2 linked regions of the Diceros bicornis minor genome follow. The protein of the gene in region 2 interacts with the protein of the main gene of each other region in a pairwise test. Links are inferred from orthologs where the notes say so. Each region holds a gene or a part of one and is shown on either strand. Other genes may lie near its edges.

Region 1 (7,898 bases), on a different chromosome or scaffold from region 2:
CTGCCCCAACTACAGTCTCACCTCGTGGAGTTTGTCGGCCTTCTGGGTCTGCTTCTTCCGACTTCTCTGAGCAGCAACTCGGTTTTTTTCTCTCCTTCGGACCTTCCTGTCATCATCCTCAGGGCTCTGGGGGAAAGTGTTTGGTCAGGTGTGACGCTGAGGACCCTCGCCTCACCCTTCTCTGCCCTCTCTTCACTCAGCGTTGCTCATCGAGCTTCACCATCTTATTTGCAGTCACAGGTGCTCGTTGCTACACCAGTAGGAGAACAGGAGCCCCTTGTTATGGAGCATTCACCATGTGCCATGGCTGTGCTCAGCTGTTAATCCCCATGACCACCTTGAGAGTGTGTGGTGTGACCGCCATTTAAAAGATGAGGAATAAGAAACTCAGAGACGTTAGGAACTTACTCCAGGTATCACAGCTAGTAAGTGGGTGAATGGGAAGTGGAACTCAGGTCTGTTGGACTCCAAACCAACGTTCATAAACCTCTACCCCACAGGGCGTGAGCCTGGAAGAGTTGTGGTGTCAACGTTGTTCATCTGAGAAGGGGAAAGGCAGAAGGCATCTGCGATGTGGAACTTGTTATGTGCCAGGCCTTCTATTACCATACACAAACAGGTACTCTTGATATGGTGTGCAAATCGTGATGACACACAACTAATTGCAACCCCATCACTCTATCAACACCTCAAATGATCTGAAACACTACAGGCAATATGCTCATTTGAACAACGCTTGACTAACATTTTCTTTCACAGGTCAGAGCAAATCAGAAAGCACATTTATGATGTGTCTTGAAAGTTCTTGGCTATATAAGAGATTTAACCAAACCTAGTCAAATCCTTCAAGAGTTATCCTGAAACAGGCCGGCAGAAAAATGCACCTACCATGGTAAAAACACTCCATTCAGTTATAGAAAACATGGAGAAGTAAAGCAGTATTTGCTTCCAGAACCCTGTGAGAAGATACTAAGGAGTGGGGGGTAGAAATACTACCTTTAAAGAGTTTAAAAGCCCAGAGGTTAGTGGGATACAAACACAGGAAAGCCACTCAATTATTAATATTAATGGAAAGCAAATCAGATAACATAAAACAATGGATATTTTCAGTTATCATTTTATCTAGTCTCATATTCCAAACAAGAGGGACAAATATCATCTCCCCGAGTTACAGCCCGGTAAAGAATTTTCAGCATATCCAAGAATATAAAGCGATAAAAGGAGAATGAATACCATATACAGAAATAATATAACACATAGAAGAGGCCTGGAGACAGTGTTCAAGGAAACAGACAAGGTGTTAAAACATAGTCTTTTAGAGGCAAAGAGGTCTTGGTAAACACAACCAGAAGAAGACCACAGAGGGGAAATGTGGTGTCGAGGACAGAACTTTAGTGTAGAAATGCATGCTTCTGGTTTTGTCTCTTACTGTCAACTTGGCCTTGGGGACATGGCTTAAATTCTCTGAATTTTCAGTTTTCTCATTTATTGTGTGATTCATTCATTCTTTCAATAAGTATTAACTGAGTTCCTGCCATGTGCCAGGGGACTGTCCTGGGCACGGGAGATCCACGCCCTGAACAAACAGTCAGTAATCTCTGCAGCCATCATTCTAAAAGCCTAATGCTTGGGGCTGGCAGAAGAGAAAAGGCGAATTCATCCTAGCTCCTAGCACCCTGTGTGCCCTCAATAACGTCTGTTGAGGTTGCTGCTACTTTTTAACCAGTCCCCCACAGTGCCTGTCACCAAATCATGCCTCTCTGTTCATAATCAGAAAGTCACAGGGCACAACGAAGCAGGCTGCATGCTGCCCTCTGGGAGCTGACGCTAAACTGGATTGATCACCTATCACATGGTCCCCCCGACAGCCCAGCAGAAACGTTTAATCAAGACAGGAAGTGGGGATTAACATATTATTAACCATATCTCAATTAGTTCTCATAAAAATCATGAGAGGTTGAGATTATTATATGCATTTTACAGGTAGGGAAACTGAGGCTTGGAGAAGTTAAGCAAGTTGCCTAAGGCTACTCAGTCTGTGTGTGGCAAATTCGAGGCCCAAACTCCGATCCGTGTGACTCTCTAGCGTCACCCGATGACACTACGGGCCAGGCACCGAACTGGGAAGAGGGGCATAACGACGAAAAGACTCAGTCCTGAAGAACCTGAGCGGGAAGTTCTCGGACGGCCGTTCCTGCGGGCAACATTGTCTCAGAGTACGCAGTTGGAAATGTTGCCGGGACAGCGCGGGACTGGATGCGGGCGAGGGGTTTCCACCAGCGGAGGGGTGGAATCTGCCAACTGCGGGCCCCCACCCCGCACCCCCAGGCTGATCGCTCCCGAGTTCCCCATTCGGCCGGCAGTCGGAGGAGGGTAGATGTCGGGAGCGCCTGGGCACCAGCCGCTCCTTCGGGCTGAATTTCCCCTCTCCGCGCCCTGGCCCCCCCGCCTCGGAGCGGCCGGAAGGGCCACGCGCGCCGACGGTGGGATGGCAGCAGGCGGCGGCGCAAGGATGGCGAGACACCCGGGGCAACGCGGACAACACGTGCCGGGGAGCGTGGACCGGGCCCGGCCCCGCCAGGCGTCGGCGCCCTCCGGTCTCTCCTCGTCCCCGGGCGCAGGAGCTGGTTCACCATCCCGGACGCCGCGGGCACTGTGCGTGCGCCCGGGTCGGACCGGCAGAGACGCACGCCCGGGCTCCTGGACCGCCTTCGGGCCCCCACTCCCTCTGGTCTCTGGCTCCCGCAGCGCCCTCCACCCCGGCACTCAGCAATCACCACCCGGGAACCCAGCGCCCAGCTCCTCGCGCCCCCCGGCACCCCCACCCTCTCATCCCTGCGGTCCTCCTGGGGCTTCTAGTTCACTACCTGCGGCTGCGGCTGGTTCCCGGGTGCCGCGACGCTCCTCTGCAGGACGCTGCCGGCGGCCGGGGGCCCTTGCGACATGCCGGGCGCTCCTCCGGCCCGGCCCGCCCCGCCGCGCAGCCTCGCGGAGGAGCGGCCGCGCGGCCCGCCGCGCCCTGCACGCGGGGCGCTGCCTACCGGCGCTCGCCCGCCACCCGCATCCTCGCGCCCCCGCACCTGCTGGCCGCCGGCCCTCCGCCCCGCCCCCGGGCTTCCCGCTCTCCCGGCTCGCGCGGCCGCTGCGCGTCGCCCGGGTTTCCCCACCCCCCGGTCCCGGCCCGCCGTCCTTCCCGTCCCCAAGTCTGCCCCGCCCCCTCCTTCTCCCACCTCCGCCTCATTTCCTCCTCTCCCCGCCCTTTCGCCGCACTTCGGGGTCCCAAATCCCACCCCTGTCGCGGCTTTCCGCTGGGGCCCCTCTCTTCGTGGAAGTCACGTGGTGGCTCCGAAACCCTGGAGGCAACGTGAAGCCCACCCACAAGAGGCGACGCTGGGGCGGGCGCAGGTCCGGGAGGCGCGGCGCAACTTTTGGGGTCTTTCAGCCGCTCTCGGAGAACTCAGCTTGAGAAACACAAGTGGGTGGTTTGGGGTTGGTGGTTTTTCCCCCGGTCCCATCACGGCATCTTCCTGAGCATCAGCCCCGCCTCCCCCCAGCGCAGGGGTCACAGTTTCGGGGGACTTTCTCCGCGCGGATCAGTCATCCCGGCGCCACTCTCACTCCTTCCGAGGCCCTCGGTCTTCCCGCCCGGGAGGCTCAGGCCAGGGCAGGGGGCAGCCGGCTTTACCGAGTCCCACTGCGCACCCTGAGAGCCACGGGCGCCCCGGGGCCTTTCTGCGGGGAGCACCTGCTCTGCCTTCACCAGTCCCGCGGGGCTGTGGGAGGGAGCAAGGTGGGAGCACCCTGGGGCCCCCAGGGTGAATTCCCTCGGTGGAGGGTGGGGAGGAGGAGGTTGTCCGGGAGAGAAACAGTGACCGGGCTTCCCTGAGAGCGAATCTGCCACGGTGCAAGTCACTATTGACGGGTTCGGGAATCTGGACTCGCCATGCTAATGTTAAAGGGGCCAGATCCTTTCTGTTTTTCAAGATTCAAGTGGCAGATGCGTGACTTCACGCCAAACTGGGGACGGGTTGAAGGGACTGCGCTTTCCTGTCCACCTACCTGTCAGTTACAAGATGCAAAGTCAAGCAGTATTGTTACGTGGTCCCAGCAAAGAAGCAACGAGCGGTTACGGGTTTGTGGTCTGCATACTGTGAACACGGGCAAAGAAAGATAACCGCGAACCTGGGTGGGAGGGTGAGAACCAAGACCAGGAGATCAGACGTGCCTTTCGAGTGCGGTCGCTTAAGACTTCAGGCTCGCGGGCAGCAGCGGGGATGCGGCTCGGGCACTTCGGACTCCCAGTCTAGTGCACGTGGCTCTCTGCCAAGATTTAAGACCCTAGCAAAACCTTTGAAAAGCAGCTTGCGTGAACTTGGCTGCCGGGCAGAGGGCAGGAAAGCAAGTGGAGATTCTTGTCTGTGTGAGCAGGGGCTTCAGCCAGACAACCGAGAGGAGAGTGCAGGTTCTAGGCAGCCGGAGGACAGAGGGTGGGCGCAGCACTTTAAGCGACAGTGCCGTACCCCACGCCGCCAACGCTGCACAGCGGAGCTATCTCTACACTCGGTTATCTGCCTAGATTTCTCTTCTCATCTCTCTTGTCCTTTTCATCACTCAACATAACTCTTGGTTGCCCGCGGGGCCACGCAGGCACCCCTATGTGCCCAGCACAGCGCTCCACACACAAGTGCTCAGTAAATTTATTGCAGCAGGTCGACTGATAGCCCTCATTCTTGGAAACTTAACAGGACTCTTAACAAGATAGAGAGACCTCTGGGTCAGGTAGTCTTGAATTTTCAGAAGTGCTTTCCCTCTGCAATGTTGTTTATGAGTGGAAAGGGCAAGGTAAAAACACAGCGGACATTTAGGTGCACTCCCACACCGCATTTTGGTTATTGCTACTTTCCTGTTCTCACTGAGCCACACCGCATTCCAAGTCCTCTGGGGCTGTACCTTCCACCTCACTCCTCAGGGAGCCTGAACCCTCGCCCCAACACACAAGAACTCTTCATATAGGCATTGGCCTACTGTCTTAGTTATTCAAGGGTTTCTTCAAATATATTTAAAGGAAGAGCCTTGGTTAGCTAGTTACCATTTAAGGAACAGATCAGTTTGACCTACATAGCATACATCAAAGTGAATGGATTAAATAATTAGACATAGAAAATAAAATTAGGGAGATAAAGCAGAATTAAATCCTTTATTCAAGCCCGGGGATAAGACAAAATGGATAGAATTTTCTAAGATGGCATGTCATAGAAGAAATCACATTGGAAAGATCTGAATTTAAAAAGAATCTTAAATTGTTTTAGATGACAGTATGACCAGAAATTAAAAATGTATAGATTGGGAAAAATATTCACAGTAAATACGACAAAGAGTTAAAATCTCTATTATATATAAGCCCATGAAAAGGAATAAGAAAAATATTGAGACAATCTCCCAAAGGTAAACTGAACAAGTGACATGAACTGGCATTTCCCAACAGAGGAAATAATCAAGGAAAATAAATAGAGGAAAAATACATATTAAAATAAGAAACGTTTTAAAATATTAAATTAGCAAAATAAAAAGTTGTATCAAATGCTGGTGAGAGTATGGTGAAATTAATACTCTCATATTTCACTGGCATCATTGTAAGTTGGTACAAACCTAATGGAAAGCAATTTTATTGTAACTTTCAAGAACCATGCAAGACTAATCACGTTTTACTGAGTTTTCCCTAGAAAACTTCCAGAAAGTCATCCTAGGAAGATCATTGAAAATACTAAAGAGAAAAAAATACTGTATGCATTAAAAGTTCATAATAATATTTTTGAGTGAAAAATTTTAAGCAACATAAATTTCCAATTATAGGTGAATGGCTAAATAAAATATGTTATAGCCATGGGGTAGAATATTATGAATCTTTAAAATTATATGGCAGACAAATTTGCCACATGGAAGATTTATTTAATATGAAGCAAAGTGAGAAAAAAATCAGGATACAAAAAGTACAAGTATAACATGTATAAAAATTTGTGCATAACATTACTGTACTGCACACTTAAAAATGGTTAAGATGGTAAATTTTATGTTGTGTTTTTTATACCACAATGAAAAAGTGTGTGCATATGAGAAAAAATTGGAAAAGAATCCACAAAAGGGCTAGCTTCTTTGTCTTGGTGGTGGGATTATAAGTAATTACTTTTGCTTGTCTTTTTAAACTTTTTGAAAAATTGTTTTATAATGTTAAAACATTTTATATTTACAAGTGATATTGCCTTCCCTGGCACTGAGCTCGTTTGTCACACCAGAATGCCAGCACCTCTCTGACCAAGTAGGATGCTCTAATAACAGCCTGTTTTCTACTTTTTTGTAATATTTGCTGGCTCATTTTATTCTCCTTAAGTCAAAGGAGGAAGAAAAATGAAAATGAAGAAAAGATAAGCAAGAACAAACATTCCAAATGTCTTCTTTTCTTCTTCTACTTATCTTTTTATTTGTATTTTTTTCCTTTGAACTGGGAAGAGAAATTATATTAGAGGATTTGGCAATTTCCTATTACTACCGCAATGACCCTGGATTACATCTTTGGAGGCAGGGAGAGGAGGTGTAGGAGGTTTATAGCTCAGTGATCAAATCCTCTGATGATTCACTTCACAAGAAGACGGTTATTTATAAAAACGTGTTGCTCAAATGCTAGAAACCTTGCCGCTATTTCACCTTTATTTTTTTCTTTTAGGGAAACTGGCCTTCCAGGAAGGGCACTTATACTGCTCTTTCTCAGGAGGTGGTCCTGTGGGCTTCTGCTGGGGCTAGAGAAAGGAAAGTTTAAGGCAGAGACCCCTGCGTTTGCTACAGTCTGGCATTGTCTCAGGCACTGTTCTAGGCACTGGGATGCTGCAGATCCGCACCTCCTGGAGCTCACATTCTAGAGGAGGGAGACAGACGATAGGCAAAAGTATTTAGATGATGATATGGAGAAATATAAAGCAGGGGCGAGAAATAGAGAGTAGTAGAGGGGAAAGCAGAGTGCAATTTTAAATAGGGAGGTCAAGCAAGCTTTACCTGAAGGAGGTGAGAGAGGGAGTCATGTGAACAGTCCAGGAGCAATGGTCCAGGCTGCAAGAACAGCAAATGCAAGAGCCCCAGGGGAGTGTGCCTAGCCACTCCAAAAACTGCAGGAGACTCATATGGCTGGAGCGGAGTGAAGAAGGGCTGGATACCTAGAGGTGAGATCAGAAGGCAAAGGGCCAGGTCCTGCAGAGCCATCTGAACTATTATTGGCTTTTACTCAAAGTGAGATGGGAGAACATTGCAGGCTTTTGAGCAGAGGTGTGACGTGACCTGACTTAAGTTTTTACAGGATCACTTTGGGCACTGTGTAAAGGACAGACTGAAAGGGTGAGGAAGAAACAGGAGTGAGGGTTTGGAAGATGTTGACAGCGATAGAGGCTGAGGCAAATTTGCCAGGAAGTCAATGATCAGAAGCCTCGAGGCCCCTCACTTGCACCGACCCCTTCCAAGGCCTAGAGGGGCCCTAGCAAAGAGTTCACGTGGTGATAGGTTGTAATAAAATTTGCAAAAGTGGGATATTTTAAGCGTAAATGGTTAAGACCACTGTCTCTTTTCACCGCGACTTCCCCCCAGTCCCTTCATGTCTGGTGATGTTGAAGTGGCTGTGGGCATTTGGGGGACCTTGGGAAGGAAGGTTTGTTCAGAGATATATTATATATTGGGATATATGTATGTGGTTTGTAATCATTTCTGTCTAGAGTCATATTACTGCTAGTTATATGGCTTCCAGGAATATTCCTACTGTCCACTGTGCTAACTCACCTGACAAGGTACATTGTACTGAGACATGAACATTCCTACACTGCCAGCCACCAAATCTATGTGGGTGGCAGAAGAGAAGC
Region 2 (7,413 bases):
CATCTGTAACCTGAACCTACTTTTAAGCAGTTATTATTACCCTTGATCAGGTGGAAACGTTTCCTACCATCACTGCAGAGTACATTTTCCTGAGGAACTGTAATGGATCATTAAATTCCATATCTGAATAACAATACTTTGCACTCTTGCAGTGCCTTTCATCCAGGGACTTCAAGGCAGTTTGCAAACAATTAAGCCCCTCGCACAGCAGCCAGAGGTGAGCAACTGGAAGGGACTTGCCTGAAGACACTGAGTCGAAGGCATAATTCAATAGAGAATAAATGGCTTCCTCCCAGGCACTAGTAATACTGAAAAGTGAATTAGGGGGGTCCTGATTCCCTCCTTCTCTTTCGCCTTATTCCTTCTTCTCTATGGCAGATCCTCACATGGAACATACAAAGAACTGACAAGTAACTAACATGTGCCTTCATAATTTAGCTAAGAGTTCAGACATACACTCACATGAGGAGAATGTTTTTCCATACATATAATCCTGGCATATACAATACGAATTGACATTTCAATCCACCTGCAGAATCGACATACACCAGAAGAATTAACTCAACACATTTACGATTTCCAAATGGCAAAGCTAAAGCCTTTCAAAATCCGAAATGAAAATATTGCTCTGCACAAATAACGTATGCTCTAACAAAAGTACTTTATTCCATGGTTGGTGTATTCCATTTCTGGGACCCTCATTTGAATGATATTCAGGTTTCAGGTACAGCAAATAGGATGGAAGTGGGCAATCGATGCATTTTTTTTAAACCAGAATACTAGAAGGGAAAAACATTTCAGCCACTCAAAGTTTTGCGGTGAAATGATAAACTCCTGAAAAACTGATTTTATAATGGAAATGCTGACAGACCTTTCACTGCAGCAGTTTGAATGCAACGCTGTAATTTAGCGATCGCTCTTACAGACTAAAGACTAATTCTAACAAGATGTCATTTTGACTCACTTTTATTATTACCTGCAAGAATGAAAAATGCCGTTTACTCGAGAGCTGCTGGAGGGGGCTACAGGGTGGGGCAATCTCGCATTTTAAGCGAGACGCCGGCTGCCTTACCAAAATAGCCCTTTCCACCGAAAGAGTGGCAGCCTTTCACGCTCAGCTTCTTTCATGTCAGCCAGAGCCTTCGCAGCTCGACATGCCTTTCCTACATGTTACATTTTAATGATCTGAGAAAACCGTTATCAGAGTTAACATCTCTAATTTTACTCTAAACAGACAAAAGCAAAATATCTCATTAGGCATTATCTCCGCCAAGGTTCCCACTAGGCAGGAAAGGATTTTTATCTAAAGTAATTACCCTTTTTAGTTAAATACACTCAACAGATGAAATCTACACAGAGTGAGAGACTGCAGCACTAGACGGCGAAGGTGAAAACCGAGGAACGCCGCGTCTCGCCACCCGCGCCGGGAGTCTGCGGCTCCGTCGGGGGTGGGGCGCCCTCATCCCTCTCGTTTCCCAGGGGCCACGGATCGCGGCGACCGCGGTGACCCGGCGGGCGAGCTGTGAGGCGCACCTTCTCGGGCCACAGACAAAACCATCAGGACAGCGGCTGCGCCGGAACTTCCCCCAAGTTGTCAAACTCGCCTACACTCGAGAGGGCGCTGGGGATACCCCGAGCGCCCATGACCCCCGAATCCAGGGTTGCCCGGTCCCTTTCACACACATACACCCGGCCCTCCCCGTTCCTTCCACGGTCCGAGTTTCTGCAAATCGTCGGCCAGACCGAGGTCGCCGAGATGCTCACTCGAGTCCCCTCTCGCGGGCAGCTGGGGTAGTCCATGAGCGCCGCCCGCCGCCCTCTCCATCGGCGCTGGGCTCCTGAGTACCCACGGGCGAGAGAACTGCGAGACTCACAGGGCGCCTCGGCATGGGGAAGTGGAGAGGTGGAGGTGTCGCCTGGATAAACTCCCCCCGAAAGTGGAGCTTCTGGGGCTTGGAGACTGAAGTGTGGGGAGGGAAAACAGGGTGTGTGCATATGTGTGTATTGCACTTTGATTTCATGCAGACTCCTGTGGGGAGGGAAGTGCAAGGTTTCCCTCTCTGAACGCGTGAGTCCTTCGGTTTGAGCTCCCAGGGACGCATTCCGATAACTCGGTCATTGGCTAGTGGGGATTCCACCCAGCGCGCAACCCGAGGTCCGCGCTGCGAGGCCCCCAGCCTGCCTCTTCCTGGGACCCTGAACTTGGGCTCTGATGCCCCGCCAGTAGCGGTGGTCCCGGCTACCCGGCGGCGACTGACAGCTGAGCGCAAAGGCGCGGCGGCCGCGGCCCTAGTGGAGCAGCCCCGGGCGCGGACGCCGCGGGCAGGGAGGAGGCCGCCCGGCCTGGCGCGGGGATCGCGGGGACCGGGGCGCCCGGGTCTCGCGGGTCCGGGAGCAGGGCCGTGGGTCTGACAGCTGCGCCGGCTCGCGCGGACACGCGCCTCCCTCCAGCCCGCCCTCCCCACGCCTGACTTATTACCCTCTGCTCCTCCTCCCCCTGCTGTTCCAAAACACCCGTCGACGCGAGCAAAATACACTGCCGCCTCGCCGCTGTAAACAGCCAGGCGAGAGAGCGCACATTCGCCGCGGCGCGTCGGCCGGCTCGGCTCCCACCCCCTTCCCGTTCCTAGAAAATGCCATAACAGCGGCCAGGGCGCTCGGCTGGCGGCTGCGCACCGGGCAGCCGCGGCTCCCTTGCCGCTCCGCTTCCCCACGCCTCCCCGCCTGCCCCGCGCCCCCCGCAAACTTGCCCCGCCGCCCCGCCCGGCGCCGGGGCCCGGGGCCGGGGACTCACCTCGCCGAGAAGTTTGCGTCCTTTTCCGCCTCCTCTTCCCCGCGTCTTCCCAGCCCGCAGCCCCTCCCGGCAGCCGGCGCGGTGGGCGGTTCGGGGGTCACCGAAAGCTCGCGGAGAGGACGCGCATCACATGGCAGCCGGTTCCCAGCCCCCTGAGTGTGCCGAGGAGGGGGAGGGGACGGGTCGAGGGCAGGCCGAGGAGAAAGCGAGAGCCCGGCGGCGGCGGCGGGAGTGGGCAGGCGGGGTGGCGAGGGCGGCGGCGAGCGCAGCCCCGGCGTGCACGGTCGCTGCTGCTGCTGCTGCTGCTGCTGAGGCGGCGGCTGCTCGGCGCTGGTTGCTCCTCGCCGCGCGGCTCGCGCTCTCCCCGGAACGCCCACACTCTCAATCGCTACATTGTTGACATTCGGCGCTGACGTCACCCACTCCCCATTCACAATAACTTTACGGGAGCCGGGCAGCGCACCTCCCCGGCCGCTGGGGCGCCGTACGCCCGGCGACTAGCGTAAGCCGCTCCGCGAATGGCGCGCCGGGCGCTGGGGCGGGGGGCGGGCGCGCGCTCCGCCGACTCGCGGGAGGGGGCGCGCCTCACGCCGCCGCCGCCGCCGCTCTGCCCGCTTTGTGCGGCCGCGCGGCTGGGAGGGCAGCCTGCTCCGGGCCGCGCTCACAGCCTGGCGGGGGCCGGCCTTGCACGGGTCTCGCAGGGGCCTTGAAAGACGAGGGCTGGGGGCTAGTGGGGCGGGGGGGAGTGGTGAGAGCTGGTGTGGCACGTGGGGAACGGGGCAGAGCCCAGGGCACTACGTCCAGGAAGGGGAGCAGGACTTCGAAGCCTGGGATTCCTGGGTTGTCTAGCGTTTCCCAGGAGGAGCAGGAAAAGATGCTCCTTGGGCCGCCGCAAAGCTGACCGTGGCCCGTCTTGGGTGGGGGTGGGGCAAGGAAGAGTAGCTCCCCACCCAATACCAGTGTTGGTGTTTGAATCCTTTCCCGGCCTGTCCTCGGCCTGTCCCGCCGAGAGAGCCTCTGAGCCCTCACGCCAGGGTTTTAGAAGTGACTCGAGTAATTGTGAAACGTACATGAAAAGCCTACCTCCCAGGTTCAGCCCCGCTCCTACTGGGTTCCAGCCTCTCCCTCTGGAGGCGGCCAGGGTGTTGCTGCTGCCTTTAAAGCCATCCTGTGGCTGCCCTGTCAGAAAAGATCTCGATGGTGGTTAGGATTTTAAAGAAAGGAATTAGGACTTAGACTGAACGAACATTTGCAATAAAAGAAGGTTGTGTTAGTGTAGTGCTGGTGCCTGCAACTTTACCCCCGCCAAGGCCAGGAAATTCTGCCATGTCTCCCTGAACACCTATAACTTGGCCCCCTTGTGTACAGGCAGTATTCCATATTATTACATGTGGTGCTGATTTTTAATGAATATTATAAAACTTTGGCTCGCTCTACTGAGAGAAGGATCATAAATCCCCCTGCAAAATGGGCACTGGCATATGCTGAGAAAGCAGTGAAGCGTTGCCCTGGGAGTCTTGTGATATCAGCCAAAGTGTTGCTCTGAACCACCTTCGTTCCAGGGCAGAGTTTTAAAAGGCCCCATTTTGAATGTCTGTGTGGAAAGCTAAGAGATGGCAGAAAGGAAGCTGAAGGGGTCGAGTGACTTTCCTAACAGCATTGCAGTGCGTCGATGTGTAGGTCTAGAACCACACTGGGAGTTTTTCTTTGCTAGCCTCTCCGGTTTTCAGATGAGAAGTCTCAGAGATAGGAACAGTCCTTGCTCTTCTGACTTTGGGTCTGGTGCCCTTTTTGACAAAACAGCCTGCTTCTGAGGTCCCTGCCTGGCCCCCTGGCAATGACAGAGGATACTGATCCCTGGTCTGCCCTGGCAGGGCTATTTCTTATCGTCTTATGGATGGTGATGTTTCCGCATTCCTTAATCTTGTAAGCGTGAGTGTCAATGCGATAACTTTATGCGTCTTAATAGCACCAATAAATGTTTTTCTCTCAAGAGCCAGGCTTGAGGAGATCCCTGTGAGGGTCGTGTAAATTCATTTCTTTTCAAGCAGGCCATGGCTGCCAAGCTGAGGCGGAGTTGGGCACAGCAAAGAGCAGGGGATGCTGCTGCAAGCTGATCTCCCCCTACTTCTGGTCCCAGATGGATGTAACAAAGGCTATTAGGTCATTTCAGTTAGTCTTTCTACTTGCCAAAGACAGACTGGAGCTTTTTTAGTTTGAAATTCTCAAGTATGAGATGGAACAGCAATTAGAGATGAAAAAAATCTAATGCAACTGTGATTGGTTGTATTATCTAGTCATTCAAGGAGGTTGAATTAGAACGAGCGGACCTCTAAGGCCATGTCCAGTATGCAACCATGTGCCTTTATGGCTGTGAATAAAACAAAATCTTTGCCTTCAAGGAGCTTGAAGTCTAGTAGGGAGTTACTTATTTCATTTTCAGTAGGTAGAAGTGGGTTATTTGAATTAAAGCCTGGGAAACATACTCAGAATTGTATGAAAATAGCATGGTAAGTCAGGTACTGGCCACTGTTCTAACTGCACTACCGCAGAGGTGAGGCTGTGGATGGCCACCACCCTCGTTGTGAATGATTCCTGGCCGTTCCCTGGGTTTGTGGTGCTGTTCTGGGCCCTTCGGCAGTTACAATGTGAAACAGATGCAGGTCCTTCCCTCTGTATATTCATGGCGGTAACCTGAGTAGAGGTCAATTTATTTCCCATGCCTGCACCATTCAACCTTTTCTGATATACTTTTTTTTACCTACATAATTACATGTGCACTGATCCAGAATATGGGCTTCATCTGGGATACATTTCTAAGCAGGATGTGATTTCCAGGGACAATAACTGTACCATAGCACTGAAGTCAGTAAACTTTATTTCTATAAATCTCCTTGATTTTATAAAATAAAATAAGAAAATTAAAATATCTGGGAAACAAAAATATGAGCAAAGGAAGACAGAAGAAAGAAGTGAGCAGTTCTCAAGGTTTTGATTTTCTGGCTCTCCAGCCTCCTCTTATAGGATCTGATGATGTTGAGAAGATATAATGGTTTTTCTTGGGCAGAACAGTAGGCAGAATTTTAAATGTGGCACCTTGAATAAAATATAGCAGGACAAAGTTAACATCCATTGAGCGAGAACGAAGTGAGATATTTAGAAGGAGAATGCTGAAGCCAGTGTACTGAAAGAAGTTCTGTTAAGAAGAAACTGAGTTCTACTCATTGGGCATATTGCTCAGAATTATGACTAAGGTTTATTATTTCAAAACCAGATGTTTTGAAGTGTATCTAAACTATAAAACCTCGGCTCAGACTGCACAGGTGACACTTGGGAGAACTGATGAAATTTGAGTAGCTTTGAATGGTGACTTGTTCAACAACTGTTGAGGCAGGCACTATTCTACAAGCTGGGATGTAGAATTCTCGTTCTAGTGGTGAGATTGAGATGGGGAGGAAGACAGAAAATGAGCTTTTATATATATATTTTTATATATAATAAACATCAATGTCAAGTTGTATGTTATAATATCTGAGAGTAAAGAGTGCTATGAAAGCAAATAAAGTAGGTATAGGAGCTCAGGAGTGATAGGGGTGGGGCCATTCTTAGGGTGGTTGGGTCAGAGATAGTGTCCCTGATGAGGGGACATTTGAGCAGAGATATGAATGAAGTGAGGGAGCAAGCTCTGCAGCTATCTTGGGGAAAAAAAGCTTTTCAGGTACGGAGAAGAGCAAGTGCAAAGGCCCTGAGGTAGAGTAAATGTGGCATGCTCCAGGGACAGCAAAAACGCCACCATGCCTGATGCAGAAGAGCAGGAAGGAGGGTAGCAGGAGATGGTGCCAGAGGGATAGCCAGCAGACTTACAGTTTAGGTCCAATGGGAAGACATTTATAGGGATTTCTGCAGAGAAAGGACATGACCTGGCCTCAACTCCTAAAAGATCATTCTGTTTACCAAGTGGAGGAGAGGACAAGAGTGGAAGCACAGAGACTAGGTAGGAGGCTACTGAGATAGGGCAAGAGAGAGGTGATGGTAATTTGGACTACAATGATAGCTATAAATGAAATCTAGACATATATTCAAAGTAAACCAGATAGGACTTATTGATGATTCAACTGTGGGATGTGAGAGAAAGAGGAGTCAAAGGAAATTCTGGATTTTAGTCTGAACAGCTGAATAATGGAGATCCCATTTAGTGAGATGGGAATCCTACAGAAGGAGCAGGTATGGGAGGAAAGCTCAAGTATTTGGGTTTGAATATAGTAAATTTTGGATGCCTATCCACCATCTAGGTGGGAAAGTTGAGTAGGCAATTAGACATGAGAATCTAGACTTCAGGAGGGAGAAATCTGTGGGTCATCAGCATATAGAATCTGGGACCGTGAGTAGAGAAGAGAAGAGGTCTGAGGATTGAGACATGGGGCGCTCCAACATTTGGAGGTCAGAAGAGAAAGAAAATGAAAAAGATCTGGCCAAGGTGGCTGAGAAACAGCAGCCAGTGAGAGAGAAGGGGAGAGGGATTGTAGCATCCTGGAAGCCAAGTGGAGGAGACTGTTTTGAGAAGCAGAGAGTAATCAGCTGTGTCAACGCTACTGATGGGTCGAATAAGGTGAGAACAC

The links. The genes of interacting proteins can lie anywhere in the genome.
Region 1: the proteins of BACH2 (region 2) and BATF3 interact in binary tests that used the Homo sapiens proteins (3 or more experiments, as listed by UniProt). The link is inferred for Diceros bicornis minor from reciprocal best matches to the Homo sapiens genes BACH2 and BATF3.

Annotation. Positions count from the first base shown.
Region 1 is NC_080743.1:78,305,297-78,313,194, forward strand, and holds the start of BATF3 (basic leucine zipper transcriptional factor ATF-like 3), read right to left. Parts: upstream 3,016-7,898; 5' UTR 2,946-3,015; coding exon 2,868-2,945; intron 2,289-2,867; exon of another isoform or gene 484-2,288; coding exon of another isoform or gene 409-483; intron 127-408; coding exon 22-126; intron 1-21. UniProt on the Homo sapiens protein: AP-1 family transcription factor that controls the differentiation of CD8(+) thymic conventional dendritic cells in the immune system.
Region 2 is NC_080762.1:42,621,015-42,628,427, reverse strand, and holds the start of BACH2 (transcription regulator protein BACH2), read right to left. Parts: upstream 3,014-7,413; 5' UTR 2,795-3,013; intron 1-2,794. UniProt on the Homo sapiens protein: Transcriptional regulator that acts as a repressor or activator. Binds to Maf recognition elements (MARE). Plays an important role in coordinating transcription activation and repression by MAFK.